4 linked regions of the Caenorhabditis elegans genome follow. The protein of the gene in region 3 purifies or fractionates together with the protein of the main gene of each other region. This does not show direct contact. Each region holds a gene or a part of one and is shown on either strand. Other genes may lie near its edges.

The links.
Region 1: the proteins of K12H4.3 (region 3) and C43E11.9 fractionate together in Caenorhabditis elegans (co-fractionation; one large-scale study listed by BioGRID). This does not show direct contact.
Region 2: the proteins of K12H4.3 (region 3) and wdr-12 fractionate together in Caenorhabditis elegans (co-fractionation; one large-scale study listed by BioGRID). This does not show direct contact.
Region 4: the proteins of K12H4.3 (region 3) and C18A3.3 fractionate together in Caenorhabditis elegans (co-fractionation; one large-scale study listed by BioGRID). This does not show direct contact.

Annotation. Positions count from the first base shown.
Region 1 is NC_003279.8:4,266,655-4,269,760, forward strand, and holds C43E11.9 (60S ribosome subunit biogenesis protein NIP7 homolog), read right to left. Parts: upstream 1,314-3,106; coding exon 1,191-1,313; intron 1,142-1,190; coding exon 840-1,141; intron 794-839; coding exon 676-793; 3' UTR 545-675; downstream 1-544. Other genes in the region: mus-81 (Crossover junction endonuclease MUS81), read left to right, coding at 1-72, 128-520; cdc-6 (Cell division control protein), read right to left, coding at 1,613-2,116, 2,414-3,106.
Region 2 is NC_003279.8:5,655,424-5,659,640, forward strand, and holds wdr-12 (Ribosome biogenesis protein WDR12 homolog), read right to left. Parts: upstream 2,495-4,217; 5' UTR 2,487-2,494; coding exon 2,395-2,486; intron 2,352-2,394; coding exon 2,254-2,351; intron 2,204-2,253; coding exon 2,109-2,203; intron 2,058-2,108; coding exon 1,951-2,057; intron 1,899-1,950; coding exon 1,774-1,898; intron 1,723-1,773; coding exon 1,628-1,722; intron 1,519-1,627; coding exon 1,197-1,518; intron 1,143-1,196; coding exon 1,017-1,142; intron 967-1,016; coding exon 834-966; intron 770-833; coding exon 643-769; 3' UTR 527-642; downstream 1-526. Other genes in the region: cir-1 (CBF1-interacting co-repressor CIR N-terminal domain-containing protein), read right to left, coding at 1-183, 231-397; mff-2 (Mitochondrial fission factor), read right to left, coding at 2,753-2,962, 3,011-3,286; F55F8.7 (Protein-tyrosine-phosphatase), read right to left, coding at 4,074-4,128, 4,174-4,217.
Region 3 is NC_003281.10:8,044,458-8,048,115, forward strand, and holds K12H4.3 (Ribosome biogenesis protein BRX1 homolog), read left to right. Parts: upstream 1-1,576; 5' UTR 1,577-1,587; coding exon 1,588-1,704; intron 1,705-1,828; coding exon 1,829-2,281; intron 2,282-2,354; coding exon 2,355-2,493; intron 2,494-2,546; coding exon 2,547-2,770; intron 2,771-2,913; coding exon 2,914-3,039; 3' UTR 3,040-3,155; downstream 3,156-3,658. Other genes in the region: K12H4.5 (uncharacterized protein), read left to right, coding at 30-323; spcs-3 (Signal peptidase complex subunit 3), read left to right, coding at 578-720, 820-970, 1,031-1,176, 1,225-1,327; mals-1 (Mitochondrial Assembly of ribosomal Large Subunit), read left to right, coding at 3,256-3,540, 3,592-3,658. UniProt on the Caenorhabditis elegans protein: Required for biogenesis of the 60S ribosomal subunit.
Region 4 is NC_003280.10:5,714,739-5,718,543, reverse strand, and holds C18A3.3 (putative rRNA-processing protein EBP2 homolog), read right to left. Parts: upstream 2,238-3,805; coding exon 2,166-2,237; intron 2,123-2,165; coding exon 2,012-2,122; intron 1,961-2,011; coding exon 1,746-1,960; intron 1,697-1,745; coding exon 1,474-1,696; intron 1,124-1,473; coding exon 816-1,123; intron 769-815; coding exon 675-768; 3' UTR 506-674; downstream 1-505. Other genes in the region: zipt-3 (Zinc/iron permease), read right to left, coding at 1-246, 299-399; C18A3.10 (uncharacterized protein), read left to right, coding at 2,944-2,999, 3,043-3,191, 3,239-3,249; lelo-4 (Late ELOngation arrest), read right to left, coding at 2,294-2,462, 3,421-3,620; Cytotoxic granule-associated RNA binding protein tiar-1, read left to right, coding at 3,739-3,805. UniProt on the Caenorhabditis elegans protein: Required for the processing of the 27S pre-rRNA.

The sequences.
Region 1 (3,106 bases), on a different chromosome or scaffold from region 3:
AATATGGCTCCGATGAAGAATCGAGTTTATTTGATTGAAGCTCAACATAAAGGAGATGTTGCTTGCGAACAGGTAGAATATAGAATTAGAATCTGATGATTTTTCAAAATTCTAACAAAAATTCCAGGCCGTAGCATCAACTCTTTCCAATGGAGGATATCTTATTCAAAGATGCTCTGATACTCGAGACACAGCTGCATTTCTCAAGGAAGTGACGATTCGTTTGCAGAACAAAGCGGCCATAGAAGAAATTTCGGGTGTTCCATTCAGCCAACTCCAGAATCTTCTCCAGAAAAAGAAGGCGGAAACTGTGAAAGAAGCTTGGGTCCGACAGCTGATGGTTTGCCCGGGAATGTCTCAGAATCGAGCCGAAGCAATTGCCGATCGATTTCCATCCATGGTATCCCTGCTTTCATATTTTCGTGCAAATGGAGACGATGCACCGATTCGACTTCTTCAGCTTTTACCTCAACTAACTAGGCCTATTACTCGTAACCTTTTCAAATTTTTTGTTCAATAAGTGAATCCTGAATGAATCAGAATTAGATTGAATTTTTTATAATTGAATGAAAAATTTTGAAAGGAAGACCAACAAAAACAACATCAACAAGAGAATAACAATGAAAAATGAAAAATTGTGGAATTTAAAATTTTTGAATGGAGACCAAAATCCGATTAAGCGAGATGACTCTCATTTCTGAGATACTCTCCAAGATCGCATTGATGTAGAACGACGAGAGCAGTTGGATCGGCACGCTTACTGTCTGATGTTCCTTTCGCTGACACTCCGAATCTAGAGAAATATATTTAATTAACTTGAATATTAAATGTGAACATACCCCAATGGAACATCGGTCATCGAGTATACGACGATTCCAGCATGAGTTGGAGTTCCGTCGGTCATTCTTGCGATTCCAGACTTGAGAATGTTGTTTCCGTAAAGGAATTGCTGCTCGGCGTTCGGCTTCAGCCACACCTTGAACTTGGCATACGGCGCCAAATAGTCGAGAGCGGTGATTTGGAGATGGAACTTTTTGCTTTTGGTGAACTTTCCCAAGCAAGTTCCAAAAGAGAGAAGTGGCTCACGGGCAATGCAGGCGGCTTGACGCATCAGATTTTCCGAACAGTAATAGACACGTTCCTGAAGAACAAATCGAGTTTTTATTGGATAAAGAACAATTAATTAATACCTTGTGATTTCTGAAGCAATAATCTCCATCATTTCTGTCGATGAGCATCGAGACATTGTCTCCGATGAACGAGGCCAACTTGGCAAATACAAGCGATGTCTCTTCTTCTGTCAGTGGACGCATCTGAATAATTAAGAAATGGGTAGAATAATTATAGACATAATAAAATAAAGATAAAAAATTTTGGAATATAAAACCAAAATTCAGAGCAAAAAGTTTTGTAATAAATATGGAGAACGTTTATAAATTACACAGAACGTGTACCCGAAGGTAAAGGGACAGGTATTCAGAAGAGAGAACGCGTTGAAAGGAAGTGAGAGGAATGATAAAGTTTACAGGGAAATGCCAAAGTAAGAAATTCAAAACTTTTTCAATATTTCAATAAATAGAAGTGGATATAAATTATGTTACAGGAGATGCGATTAAAATTGAAGGAGTCCAATTTGATCAAGCATCGCGTTGTCACTGATAGCCGATTTTGCCGTCGGAGCATCAACTTGAAGAACTAGCTTTCCGCCGTTTAACTGACGGACGAAGGATTGAGATTCGAGAGTCTGGAACGCTGAATGAAGTTCATCGTCATCAAGAGCGGGCATTCGAAGAGCCTCGCAAGCTTTATAATAGGCACGGAGCAGGGAATTCCGATCGAATGTGCATTTCTTGTTGGCAGAAAGTGTTAAAGAGACAGCTAGAAGAATTCGAGGTTGAAGTGGAAGACGAGCACGAGCCAATGGAGACGAATAGACATTGTTGATGATTCCAAGAACTTCACGACATCCATTAACTGGGGTACCAGGAACTTTTGAATCATCAGGAATCATACGACTTTTTTGTTGTTTGAAGATGTGGAGTGCGGTACGAAGATCTCCGCTCATTGCAGCCACTTTACGAGCGGTTAACTCGATTGCCTTTGCGTCAATTGAAGTCTGAAATTATAAAATGTAAAATACTAAATGAACTTAGGAGCACCGGTTCTCTGAGTTTTTCGCTTGGAAAGAATCAAAATGTGCGCAAACGAAAGAATTTCATAATGAGACTGCTGAAAAGTTCTTAGAAAATGGGCGAAATTGGTGATTTTATTTAAAAATAGCTTTTTTCTTCGAAATTTTTTAGCCACCATAATTGTTTTTTTGAAAATTCTCACTACAAAATTAGTTTTTTTTGGTACATTTTGAGTCTATACAAGCCGAAAACCGATACTCATCCTTTAAATTTAAACTTACCTCCTCGTTTTTCATTTTATCATTCAAAATTTCTACGATGTCATCTTTCGTATACGGTTCAAAAACGAGTCTTTTCGGTGGCTTCGCGAGCATCAATTTTGGAAGAAGTCGTTCTGTCAAATCAATCGAATTTGCAATTCCAAGAATGATAATTTTTCGAGACAACGTCTCTGGCCATTGAAAAGCTGCGTAGAGTGCAGCGTTCTTTCGATTCGCGAGATGATCAATCTCATCGAGAACCAGTACCAGAGGAGTTTTGAATTGCTTCACGTGCTTCTCAAAAATTTCTTCATTCGGCTTTCCGTCCAAATCCAAAGATTCGAAAATCGTTTTGAATAGTGCTGATTTGGTATTTGTTGAAGCGCAATTTACAATACAACTTCGAACTGATTTTCCCAATGATTTAAGAACTCTCATTGTGGTCGCAGTTTTTCCAGTTCCAGGTTGTCCACTGACATAAATAGACAACGAAGTATTCGTTTCTTTACTTTTCATAATCCATAATTTCAGTGAATCAAATTCTTCACGTCTTCCTTTCAAAGCCCCTTCGGAAGATGTTGAAATAATTTCTTCGCTGTCAGATTCCGATGAGCTCTCTTTTCGCGACTTTTTCTCTGGTGTTCCCTGAGATCCAGATCGTGACCTCGACTGTTTTTCCGGAGTACGTGGAGTTGTCAATTGGCTCTTCAAGTT
Region 2 (4,217 bases), on a different chromosome or scaffold from region 3:
ATTCCGAATGGTTGATCTTGGATCTCTTCATTTCCTTTAGCCCAATCTTCACGTGGTGCTTGATATTTCCGTTGCCATTCGAATTTCGGCTCTTCTTTCGGTTCTTCTCTCTTTGTCATTCCAGCTGGAGCATCATACATGAACGATAATCCCATTTTGGCCTTTTCGTCTCCAAGAAGAGCTCTGAAAAATATTTATAATCTAGTGAGAAGATATTGAATGCAACATACTTGTTATTCAAAATTTCTTGCTCTTTCTCATAAGCAACTCGAAGTTCTTCTTGTCGTTTGTCCTCCAAAGACTTCTTCTGTCGTGCTTCCCAGACCATTTTGAGATTCCGAAAAGCGGATGGATGGAAGTCCTTTTTGGACATGAAGTTTTGAAAACCCTTCCCCATTTTGCAACGCTTTTGTTTTGATTCTCACTGAAAAATTCTGAAAATACTTGAATGAAAAATTGAAGAAAGAAAAATAATTGAAATATTTAACACAGTTCAAAACTGTCAGAAGGTAATGGAAAATAAATTCAAGTGGATAACTTCATAAAAAGTTCAACAAAAAATCAAAATCAACAAATAGAAAACGCGGTATATAGAAAAAAAAACAATATAAGAATTTGTAGAATAACAAAAAACAAAACAAATCAAGCAGTCTCAAAGATTTTGATTGTGCAGTCTGCGGATCCAGTTGCAATTAGTCCTTCATTCCACGTGGCACACAAAATACGATCATCGTGTCCATGAATGTCGAACAATGAAGACTTTGAGGATCTGAAACAAACCGAATATTAAAGTAAAAACTGAATGGTTCTTTAATTTTTGAAACAAGACCTACCTTACATCCCACATTTTCGCAGTTTTGTCGGTGGAAACACTAACAAATTGATTTGTATCCAACGGATTCCATTTGACAGCTTCAACCCATCCATTTTGATGTCCAATGAATGATTGTTTAACCATACTTCCATCTGAAATGTTTTATAAATACAAGAGACTAAATAAATATTAACAAACAAACCTCTATTTTTTGGATCATAAAGTCTTGGAATAGCATCAGTACAACTGGAGATGAGAAGATCACTCTTCGGATGAAGATCAATGCTTGTGAATGATTTGGGTCCTTTGATCCGCGAAATTTCACCAGCTTGAATGAAATTATTTTTTGTATATAAATAGGATATTTATCATTAGAACTAACCTAATTCCAAATCCCATTCAACAATAGTATGATCCCACGAGCACGAAAATGCGTGTCCAGAATTCCATGGACACCATTCGACTGCGGATACTTTGTCACGATGCCCTCCAATCGTAACCATCGGAACTTTAGTTTTGGTTTCTTTCTTTCGGCGTTTCTTCGCACTTTCTTCTTCTTCTTCTTTCTCATATGTTGTTGCTTCATCAGATGCATCCAAGTTCCAAATTTTGAGATTTGTGTCGACTGATCCAGAAATCGCACGGGTCGAATCCGAGTTGACTGAAACACATTCGACGGCACGTTCATGACCACGAAGGATGAGCTGGAAAATTTTTATTAAGAATGAAGTAATGACTGCAAAATAAAAAAAAAGAATTTTCGAAACAAAATTTATTGATAAAACTGATAACCCCGAAATTCGAACACCTAACCTTCTCAACAAGTGCTCCTTTTTCAATTGCATAGAGAGTCAGCAGTTGATTTTCACCGCCGACCACAAATTCTGTACCGTCCAATTGATTTTTCTCTGAAACAAAAATTATCGTTTTTTTAAATTTCAACTAGTGTTAAAACTGACTAGATGGTGCTTTGACGATTGAGATGCACTTTAAAAGACGATTTGCTGAATTAACAGCCAACTTTGTCTCTTTTCCTTTACGATCCACAATTACAATGTCTCCTCCGTAGGTTGTTGAGAAAATGCTGAAAATTTCAGAATGAGACTTTTACCAAACATTAAGCGGAAAAAACATACTGGCCGTTTGCGATTTGTACCGAAGAAACCCAATCAGGCGCTTGGATATCATGAAGTGGTTTTGGAGCTTCAATTCCAATTACGCATTCCACTTTAAGGATTGTTTCCTGCAGAGCTTGTTTTATTAAAACTCTAAACTTTTTTTAAATGAAATTTACCGTTTCCACTTCGTATTCCTCGATGAATTCAGCTAGACTCGTGCGCAAAAACGTTTCACCAACCAGAAATTCGAATCGCCGCTCTTTCCATGCACCTGAAAAATAAAATTGTATAACATTTTTATTTGAAATAGCTGAAATAAACCATCATTGGCTTCAATAGTCTTGTTCAATAGAAGATTCATATCATCACATTCTGCTCCAGTCGGAACATCAAAGACGGCATCCGGAATTTGCGGAATTCTGAAAAACGAACATGATGCATTTGGATAAAATTCTAACTTACTCTTCATCTTTACTGAAAAAGGTGATTTGAACGTGCTTCTGATTGATTGAGTGATCACCGTTTTCCACTTCCATTAAATCCGCCAAGTCCATCTTTCGATCTGAAAATAATTGATTTTATTCAGAAAATTTTTGGGAAGCAAGTAAGAAATGAGAGACAAACGAAGAATAAATACAAGAAGAGAGAAGAGGAGATGTGAGGGTTCAACCGGAAACAAAAATACCGTATGAAGGGGACTAACGAAAATCTATAACATTTAAATCAATGTTTTGATAAATTTTTGCTTTTTTGAGAGCTATTGAAAATCAGAAAATCATATTGCAATGAAAAATGAATAAAAAAATAAATCCTCCGAATTTTATCGTTTCAAAAGTGACCAGAACGCCGTTATTGCAACACCGAGAAGAGCTACGAAAATGGCTTGCTCTCGATGTCTGCGTGTCTCGTTTTTCTCTTCCAACTCGAAGACTCTCGCACTGATTCGACCCATTTGGCGACGGAGCATTTTTAGTTCACGGAGCGGATCCTCGTCGACAACCATCGAGCTGTCCGTCCGGGCTGTGTCTAGCTAAATTGTTGCAGTTATTAAATATATATTTATCCTCAATTAGCTAACCTCTCGCCGCTGATCTTCAACCGGATATTGTGTATCGGCAACAGTGAGTACATCTGGCACATCAGTCAAATAATGAGCATTTTCCGTTGGAAGTTTATCCACACTATTACGATAATCTTCCGTAATTCTTCCATATGTATCACCTCCCGTTACAGTTATTCTATCTGGAACTTCCATTTGTTCGACAAGTGATTGACGATTCGTACGACGAGAAGGACCTCCGCCATGTCCACGCATTTCATCGCCGGTCGCTGTGATGTGCTCCGGAACGAACATTTTCTGAAATTAAAAAAGTTTAAAATCTATTTTTTTTTTGAGAAACCTTGAAAGAGGAAAAGTACAAGATAGTGTGTCATTTTCATATTTATACGATGTAACCCGGTTTCAAAATAAATTTGCGTCACAGAAATTGAAAAATTGCATCAGGTATTATTTTTAAAGAGTTTATCAGCGATTTTGGTCTAATATCATTTTCATTAATGTCAGTTTTATCATCATATTCATCAGTGAGACATAAAAACATAGTTTCGTAAAATCACTGCAGTTTGATACTATCAGTTTTTTATACTGTTATTAATTACACGAAAAAGAATCATAAATTACTCATCTTCAACTTTACTAAAGTGAACAAAAAACGTTTAGAAAGCCGAGAAGACAATAGAAACCAGTGAAAAACTAAAATTCGAACCATAAAAAGCTCAAACGAAAATATGGCCTAGAAATATTCGCTTGTCGGTTCCTAGGCCACCACCTCGTTCAATTGGCGGTGGTTCAAAAAATATTATTTGAAAACTACCATTAAAGGGAAATGCATCTTTCACAACAACTTTCTGTTTTCTTTGCAAATATTCTGAAAATATCATAAAAGTTGAGAAACCATGAATATTTTTTTCATTTGGATGAAGTGGTGGTTGAACTATTTAACGTACAAGTTGATTTTTCAAAGTATCTTGAGTGTTTCTTTCGATTTGAAATGCATGTAAAAAATGTAAAAAAATAATTCACAGAAAATACCACATATCAATTCAATTTTATTCTTCTAATAAATCTATGAAAACGAGTTCTATGCTTTAATTCTCTCCTTCTCTTTCCCTTCAGTTGCCACTTTCTCGCCTTGCCTGAAAATCATAAGTTCTCTCTAATTCCAAAACCAGCAAACTTACTGATTCTGTACCGCACGTTTTGCCAACTTTTTCTGTGCATGTTT
Region 3 (3,658 bases):
TTGGCATTATTAGAGGATGTTACAGGGTGATGATCAAGTACCACGTGTCGCGAAGCGCCCGACTCTGGGCTTACTGGAGCACCCTGCCACATCGAATGCTCAAGAAATACCCGGAGCAAACTATCTTCTACGCGACTTTCGGAGTAGCCACACTATTGATTGGCGGATATAAAATGAAGAAGTACTTGACAGAAAGTGATAAGCCATTCTACCGCGGATACTACGACGTCGTCCGTTCCAACGACCCAATCGCACAAAATTGGAGAAAACCAGAAGAATATCCAGCACCGTATCTTCTTTCAAGTGTTGAGACAGCTCATTGATCAATCGTCCAAAATAATCAACGAGAAGCCAATAAGTCGTAGACGATTTTCGATTTTCACTGTAAATTGGACACATTCGGTGTTTTATTTTTTAGAAGAGTTTTTAAAATGTAAATGAAAGTTTTCCTTTTTAAAATTTGTTTTCATTTGTCTACTGAAGTGTTTCAGCCACAACAATTATATTTTCTATATGTATTTATATTAATTTTATTTTTCATTTTTATCCAAAGTTTCAGGCTGATTCGAGCTCAAAGATGCACAATCTTCTGTCTCGTGCTAACGCACTCCTAGCGTTCACTCTTTGGGTGATGGCCGCAGTCACAGCAGCTTGTTTCCTGTCAACAGTTTTCCTCGACTACACTGTTCCAACCAAGCTCACTGTCAACGATGTCAAAGTGTAGGTTTTATAAGAGAAATAAAAAAATTGCGAAATTCTTTCAAGCGTTTCTCCGAAAACATTTTAAACGTATTTCTGTAAATCTTATTCCATTTTCAGGAGAAACGTTGTCGACTACGCCACGGATGAGCAACAAGCCGATCTCGCCACACTAAACTTCAATCTGAAAGTCGATTTTTCAAAGATTTTCAACTGGAACGTCAAGCAATTGTTTGTTTATTTGGTTGCAGAATATAAATCGAAAGTCAACGTAAGCTTTGGAAACTTTTATTGAGGATCGAAAAAAACTTCTTTTTTTTTGCAATTGTAGGAGGTTAACCAAGTGGTGCTATGGGACAGAATTGTGGAACGTGCTGACCGTGTGGTTATGGACGAGATCGGTGTCAAGTCAAAGTATTATTTCCTCGACGATGGAACCAATTTGCTTAACCACAAAAATGTCACCTTTGTTTTGAGGTTTGAATTGAAAATTCGATAAATAAAACCAAATATTAAAATATTTAGATACAACGTGATTCCAAACTCTGGCTATCTTCGTCTTGTTCAATCTTCCGATCAAGTTGTTGTTCCGTTCCCAACCACATACACAACTACTCGAAGATCCTAGTTACATCTTATTTTACTTGTTTCATATGAAATACTATGGGTTATGTGTTTCATCCGTAATTTATTTAATTCATCCGATTGTGAGATATTTCTTAACTTATTTTTGATTTTCTTCACCACATTTCATAATAAGATTTAAAAATCCGGGAATTAAATTAATTTTTATTAAATGTCTTGGTTGCTTTCACCCTTTGCATATTTACTTATTTTCGTTTCTCTCTTCCATATTATTTTAAATTACAACCTTCAGGATCAGAAATAATGGGCAAGTTCTCGAAAATCAAGAAAGTTCAAGAGGAGGAATCTGCGCACCAGAAAATGGAATGGGAAGCTGCCGGAGCCAAGGACTCGAGCTCTGATGATTCTTCTGATGAATCGGTAAATCTTTATTAGCTAGTTTAATTTCCAAAAGGTTTTTTTGGAACAAGATTCTAATTGGAAAGTCTAAAAAATTTATTTTCAATATCTAATACCATCTTATTATTAATTGTAACATTTTCAGGACAATGATGATCAGCCAAAACAAGCAACTGAGGAGACCCGTAAACGCGCGGAACTTTGGACAAACCGCGAACGTGTACTTGTGCTCTGTTCCCGCGGAGCCGACGTTCGCACCCGTTATTTGATGAAGGACATCAAGGATTTGTTGCCACATGCAAAAGGAGATTCGAAGCTGGATCAGCAGAAATCTCTGAATGTTCTCAATGAGATTGCTGAAATGAAGAATTGCACAAAAGTAATGTACTTTGAAAGTCGTAAGAGAAAGGACACTTATCTCTGGATGTCAAATGTTGAGAAGGGGCCATCCATCAAATTCTTGGTGCACAATGTGCATACAATGAAGGAACTCAAAATGTCAGGAAATTGTCTGAGAGCTTCAAGACCAGTCCTTTCATTTGACGATGCTTTTGATAAGAAACCACAATTGAAGCTTATCAAGGCCGTGCTTATGCAGGTAATTTTGTAAAAATTGAATTTGAATAAATATTTTGTTAGAAAAAATTATAATTTTCACAAAATAATTTCAGACTCTTGGAACACCACATCATCATCCACGCAGTCAGCCATTTGTGGATCACGTCTTTAATTTTTCTGTTGGAGAAGGTGATAAAATCTGGTTCCGCAATTTTCAAATTGTTGATGAGAGTCTTCAACTTCAGGAAGTTGGTGAGTATATAGTTTGAATACTTTTTATTTACATGCACAACATTTTTCTTCAGGACCACGCTTCGTTTTGGAAATGGTTCGTTTGTTCGCTGGCTCATTCGAAGGAGCCGTACTGTACGACAACCCAAACTACGTCTCTCCAAATGTGATCCGCCGTGAACACCGTAAAGGACAACATTCGTATATCGAGAAACAGTTGGCTGTGAAAGCATCAAATATCAAACAAGCTAAAGTCACAGAAATTCTCGCTGAAAAGACTGTTGATTTGGTTGGAAAGGTACGATTTTGAAAATAAAAAACATGAAATTAAAATCAAATTTGACAAAATACAGTCATAATATTTACTATAAAATTATTATACAATTATTTCCAAGTACCACAATCGATTTGAACGAGTTTTTAATTTATCTTCCTTTCCAGGAATTCGATACACAAAACAATGCCGCTGCTGACTCAGAGGCTGCTGCTCAGATCACTGCTCAAATTGAGAAACGTCGTGTTCGCAAGAAGAAGAGCCAAGCATCAAAGTACACTGGATCCGATTAATTTTTGTTGAATTTATCACATTTTTGTTGTTATTGTTGATTTTTTATCTCAAGCTACTCTGTTGTTTCTTACTCTGATCTTTTTATGCCTTTTTTGAATAAAAAATTATCAAAGCGAAATTCAATTGTTTTTTTCTAAATATGTGTCAAAACCAACTCAAATTTATTATTTTTCTAATTTCTCGAGATGCTTTTGTCAAGAATATGTCGTTTCAGAATGCTTACACGATTCACACGACTTCGTCCAATTCTACAGTTACGATATCTTGCTCAAAATTCGCATATCGAAGAGGAATATTTCGAAGAATTAGAGCCAACTGGAATCATTTCCAGTCACGAAACAAGTCAAGAACCTCCAAAACGGACAGGATTCAGAAGCCAGAATTTGTCAGAAGACGCTGATTTTGTAGAGAATGTGGTCGGAGCTTTGACTGATCAAAGAGCAAAAGATGTATTTGTTGTAAAATCAGAAGAAACAGAAATGACACCGTATACACATAAGGTAATTAATCCTCGTAATTCAGTAAGGAGAAAATTAATCTCATATTTTCAGATAATTTGCTCAGCATTCAATTCGCGACAAGCTTCAGCAATTTCTGAAAATCTTCGATCTCTTCTAA
Region 4 (3,805 bases), on a different chromosome or scaffold from region 3:
TGGCCATTTCCGATTGAATGTCCGATTCCGTGAATGATTTGCTCAGTTATCAAAATTATCAGGAATCCAATAATAACTAATTGATCAGTCGATGGAATCCATCCATAACTATCAACTATCGTCTGATTCCCTCTTAAATGCATTTCTTGATGTCTGACATGAGGGACAAGTCCGAGGAAACACGTGGCAATGAAGACACCGCATGAAGCACATCCCAGGAATGAGATTGATGTTTTTGAAGCGTTTCTGAAAAAAAAAATTTCTAGTTTTCATTTGTTATTTTGGAATTTAAACTGACACACAACATGTCCTTAGAAAAGTGTACGGTATCGATGTTGAGATCAGAAGAAGAATGAAAACAGCAAAAGCTGATGTTGTCATAAACAAAAATTGTTCCATTTTTAGTGCATTTTCTGAAAAATCTGCTTAGCGATTTTGATTTGGTTGGACTTTTTAAAAAATACAAGATCGATTAAAAAACGATTTGGAAGTTATTCAATGCTTGCAACAACAAATTATTTTATTGGACATTACTAAAATCAGAAGATCAACAATAAAAATGGGATAACTGTAAGAACAAAATTTTGAAAATCGAAATCCATAACAAGGAAAAATCAACAATGATGTAACAAAAGTTCATAAATTGTAAATATAAAAATAGGCTTAACGTTTGCTTAACGTCTTCCGCGTCCACCGCGTCCTCCTCGTCCACCACCACGACCACGTCCACCGAATCCTCCGCGTGGAGCTCCGAACAGATCATTGAAGCTGAAAAAAATAAAATAATTTCAGGAAAGACCGATGAAGCTTCTTACCTCTCCTTGTTGTTTCTCTTCATTCCCTTCTTCTTTCCTCCATAACCGAATTTATCCGATTTCAGTTTTCTTTTGAGTTCTCCTGCGTTTCTCATCGATCCTCCTCTTCCAGCTCCACCTCTTCCGGCACCACCTCTTCCTCCTAGACGGTCACCGAATGCTCCAGTCGGTGCGTCATCATCCTGATCAAGACCATGTCTTTTCACGTTGTTCAGCATATCTTCCAATTGTTGTTTCATTCCCTTTTTGTGCTTCTTCACAGCTTCTGCGAGGTTCTTTTTCTCTGTATTCTTGGCAGCGAGAACTTCCTGAAAAAAATGATATTCATGTTCAACGATTTTATTTTTGTAAATTCTACAAAACGAATCAGAGTAAATAGCATGTTTTACCAATATTTTAAATTTAAATTTAGTGATGGAAAATAGAAAAAATGTTTTATCTGGAAATAGATTTTTATTTCAGTTTGAAACAATTGCGAAGTGCTCAAAAACTGTATCAAAGTTGGATATTGCTGCAAAAAAATTTTATCCTGCAACTTTCAACTTGCAAACATTTTTGAGTGTTTGTCCAATCGAACCATTAGAAATTAAAGTTATTTTTCCGTTATTTTAATTAATTTTTAGGCTGAAATTTTTCTGGTTTTTTGAACAACCATTACCTTCTGAACCTTAACAGCAAACTTTTTCTCTTCACGAATACGGCGGAATGCTTCTTGTCGTTCCTTCATTTCTTGAATTCCGAGAAGTCTCTTGCGAACTTTCTGCATATGAGTGTCACTCTTTGCCATCTCTGCATAGTAATCTGTTGGTCGCAGAACTTTGATACCAAGATTCAGAAGACGTGGATAGGCGATTTGAACAGCTTTTTCAGCTTGCTTATAGCTTTAAAAAATTAGAATTTTCGAAATTATACAACCCTCGTGCAACTTACAAATTCAACTCTCTTTGGAAGTCGTCATTTTCCACTTTCTTGTCCATTTCAGAATGAGGAGTTACCACTTCAAGAGTCTCAACCCATGGAAGATCTTTTGTGATTTCAGCCAATTTTTCTTTCATTTCAGCACTTTTGTTGATGATCGGACGCTTTTTGGCTACTTGAATGTTGAGTCCATCTTTAAGAAGACCAGCAGCGAATGCGGCTTGGAGCTGCAATCAGTTTTTTTTTTTGAAAATACTTTTTAAAAAAGTAATTCTCACCTCTCTTTCATCGTCATCGCCGTCTGATTCAACCTCTTCGATATCCATCGCTTCCATTGGTTTTTCCTCGATAGCATTATCGAAGTCAAATTCGGATCCGTCGGAATCGCTCTGAAATTTTGAATTATTTTTTAAAACAAAGTATTTTCCTCACTTCTGGTTCCGGTTGACGACTTTTTGAAGTGCTGGCGAGCCGCTTGGCGAGCTTATTCATTTTACGAACCATCTGAAATCGATAATCAATAAATCCATTAAAAATTAGAAAAACACAATTATAAAATATTAAAAACGCTGAAAACGTTTTCTTTTGAAGATCGAAGAATAGTAAAAAATTAACAAATTATTATTACAAACATTCACAAGAACAAGAAAAATATAATACATGAAAACAAAAAAATTATTAACAATTATTATTGCACATCGAATCGAGCACCAATGAGAAGACGGCTGGCTGAAAGTTTTTAAATAATTAGCTTGCACTAAAAAATTAACAAAATAAATAGTATTTTAATACATGAAACTTTGACAAGAAACATTTTATATCGGTAATGTGTCTTCCCAAAAAACAGCCAATAAATTCTTGGCCGAACTGCGGCGCATTGAAATTTCTCTTCCACAAAAGATTTCTCGTTCATAATGCTGCGTCCAAACCCGAAAAAATCTCAAATGTTCTTCATTTTTTTAAATTGAACTGATAATTGAAGAGAAAAACGATTATCGGAAGCAGCATAAAGATATATTGACCCGAAAATTTACGAAGAGACCCCCAGAAAACATTATTTAGATTGAATTTTCTCTTTGAACAAACACATGAATAGGTTTTTAGTCTATCAATTGATAAGAGTCGGAGTGCAATGGTATGTGCGATGTGACTCATTTTTCTTCGATTTTTTGTACAATAAGAAACAATTTTTCAGAAAAATTTAATGAAAATGAATAAGTCTAAAGATCGAACACCTACAGTATCCACGATTGAGAGCTATGGAACGTAAGTTTTAGAATCAAATTTCTATGATATCTGTACTTTACAGAGATATGCCGCATGAGCATTATCGTTACTATAGAGAAAAAAATATATGTGGCATTTCTGGACCAATATGCTTTTGTTCAACTCTGATCTTAGTGGGATTTTTGATTTTGCTAGGAATTTTGGCGATAGTTATATTTTTCATACTTCATCGTGAGTACTAGACGTCCAGTTCTTAATATTAAGCATGTTCTTTACAGATACGTTATGAAACGAGTGGTCAGCTTCTCACTATCAACGACAAAATTATATTTCTTACTATTCTAAACCCTAAAAATGGATTTTCAACGTTTATACATGAATGAAAACATATTTTACGCCTATTGTTTGATTGGAATGAATTCTAAATTGATTTGATGTTTTAAAACTTTAAAATACTCACCATTTTTGCGGAGGAACGGGCTGAAACTTAAAATTATTTGCAGAAATTCGAAACTGAAAACTCTGTTTTGAATTGCCGCTTGAGTAAGATCCGCAGGGTGACACGCAGCGCACTGACCGCAACGCTCTAGACGACACTTGCGAGCATAGTTTTGAATGTGAACGCAGCGTTCCCGCACTGTTTTTATTGGTTTTTTGCATGTTTCTTTGTTTTTTTAAGTATTTATTAAACGTTTATCTCTCTTTACGATATTACGACATAAATTATTTTCTATCTTCTTATTCGTTTTCTTTTTTACAGGGATCTATCATTTAAGCCATGTCCTTCTTCAACCCACCAGCAAACTCCAACCATGGTTACAATGACGACGTCAATACTGGTTACA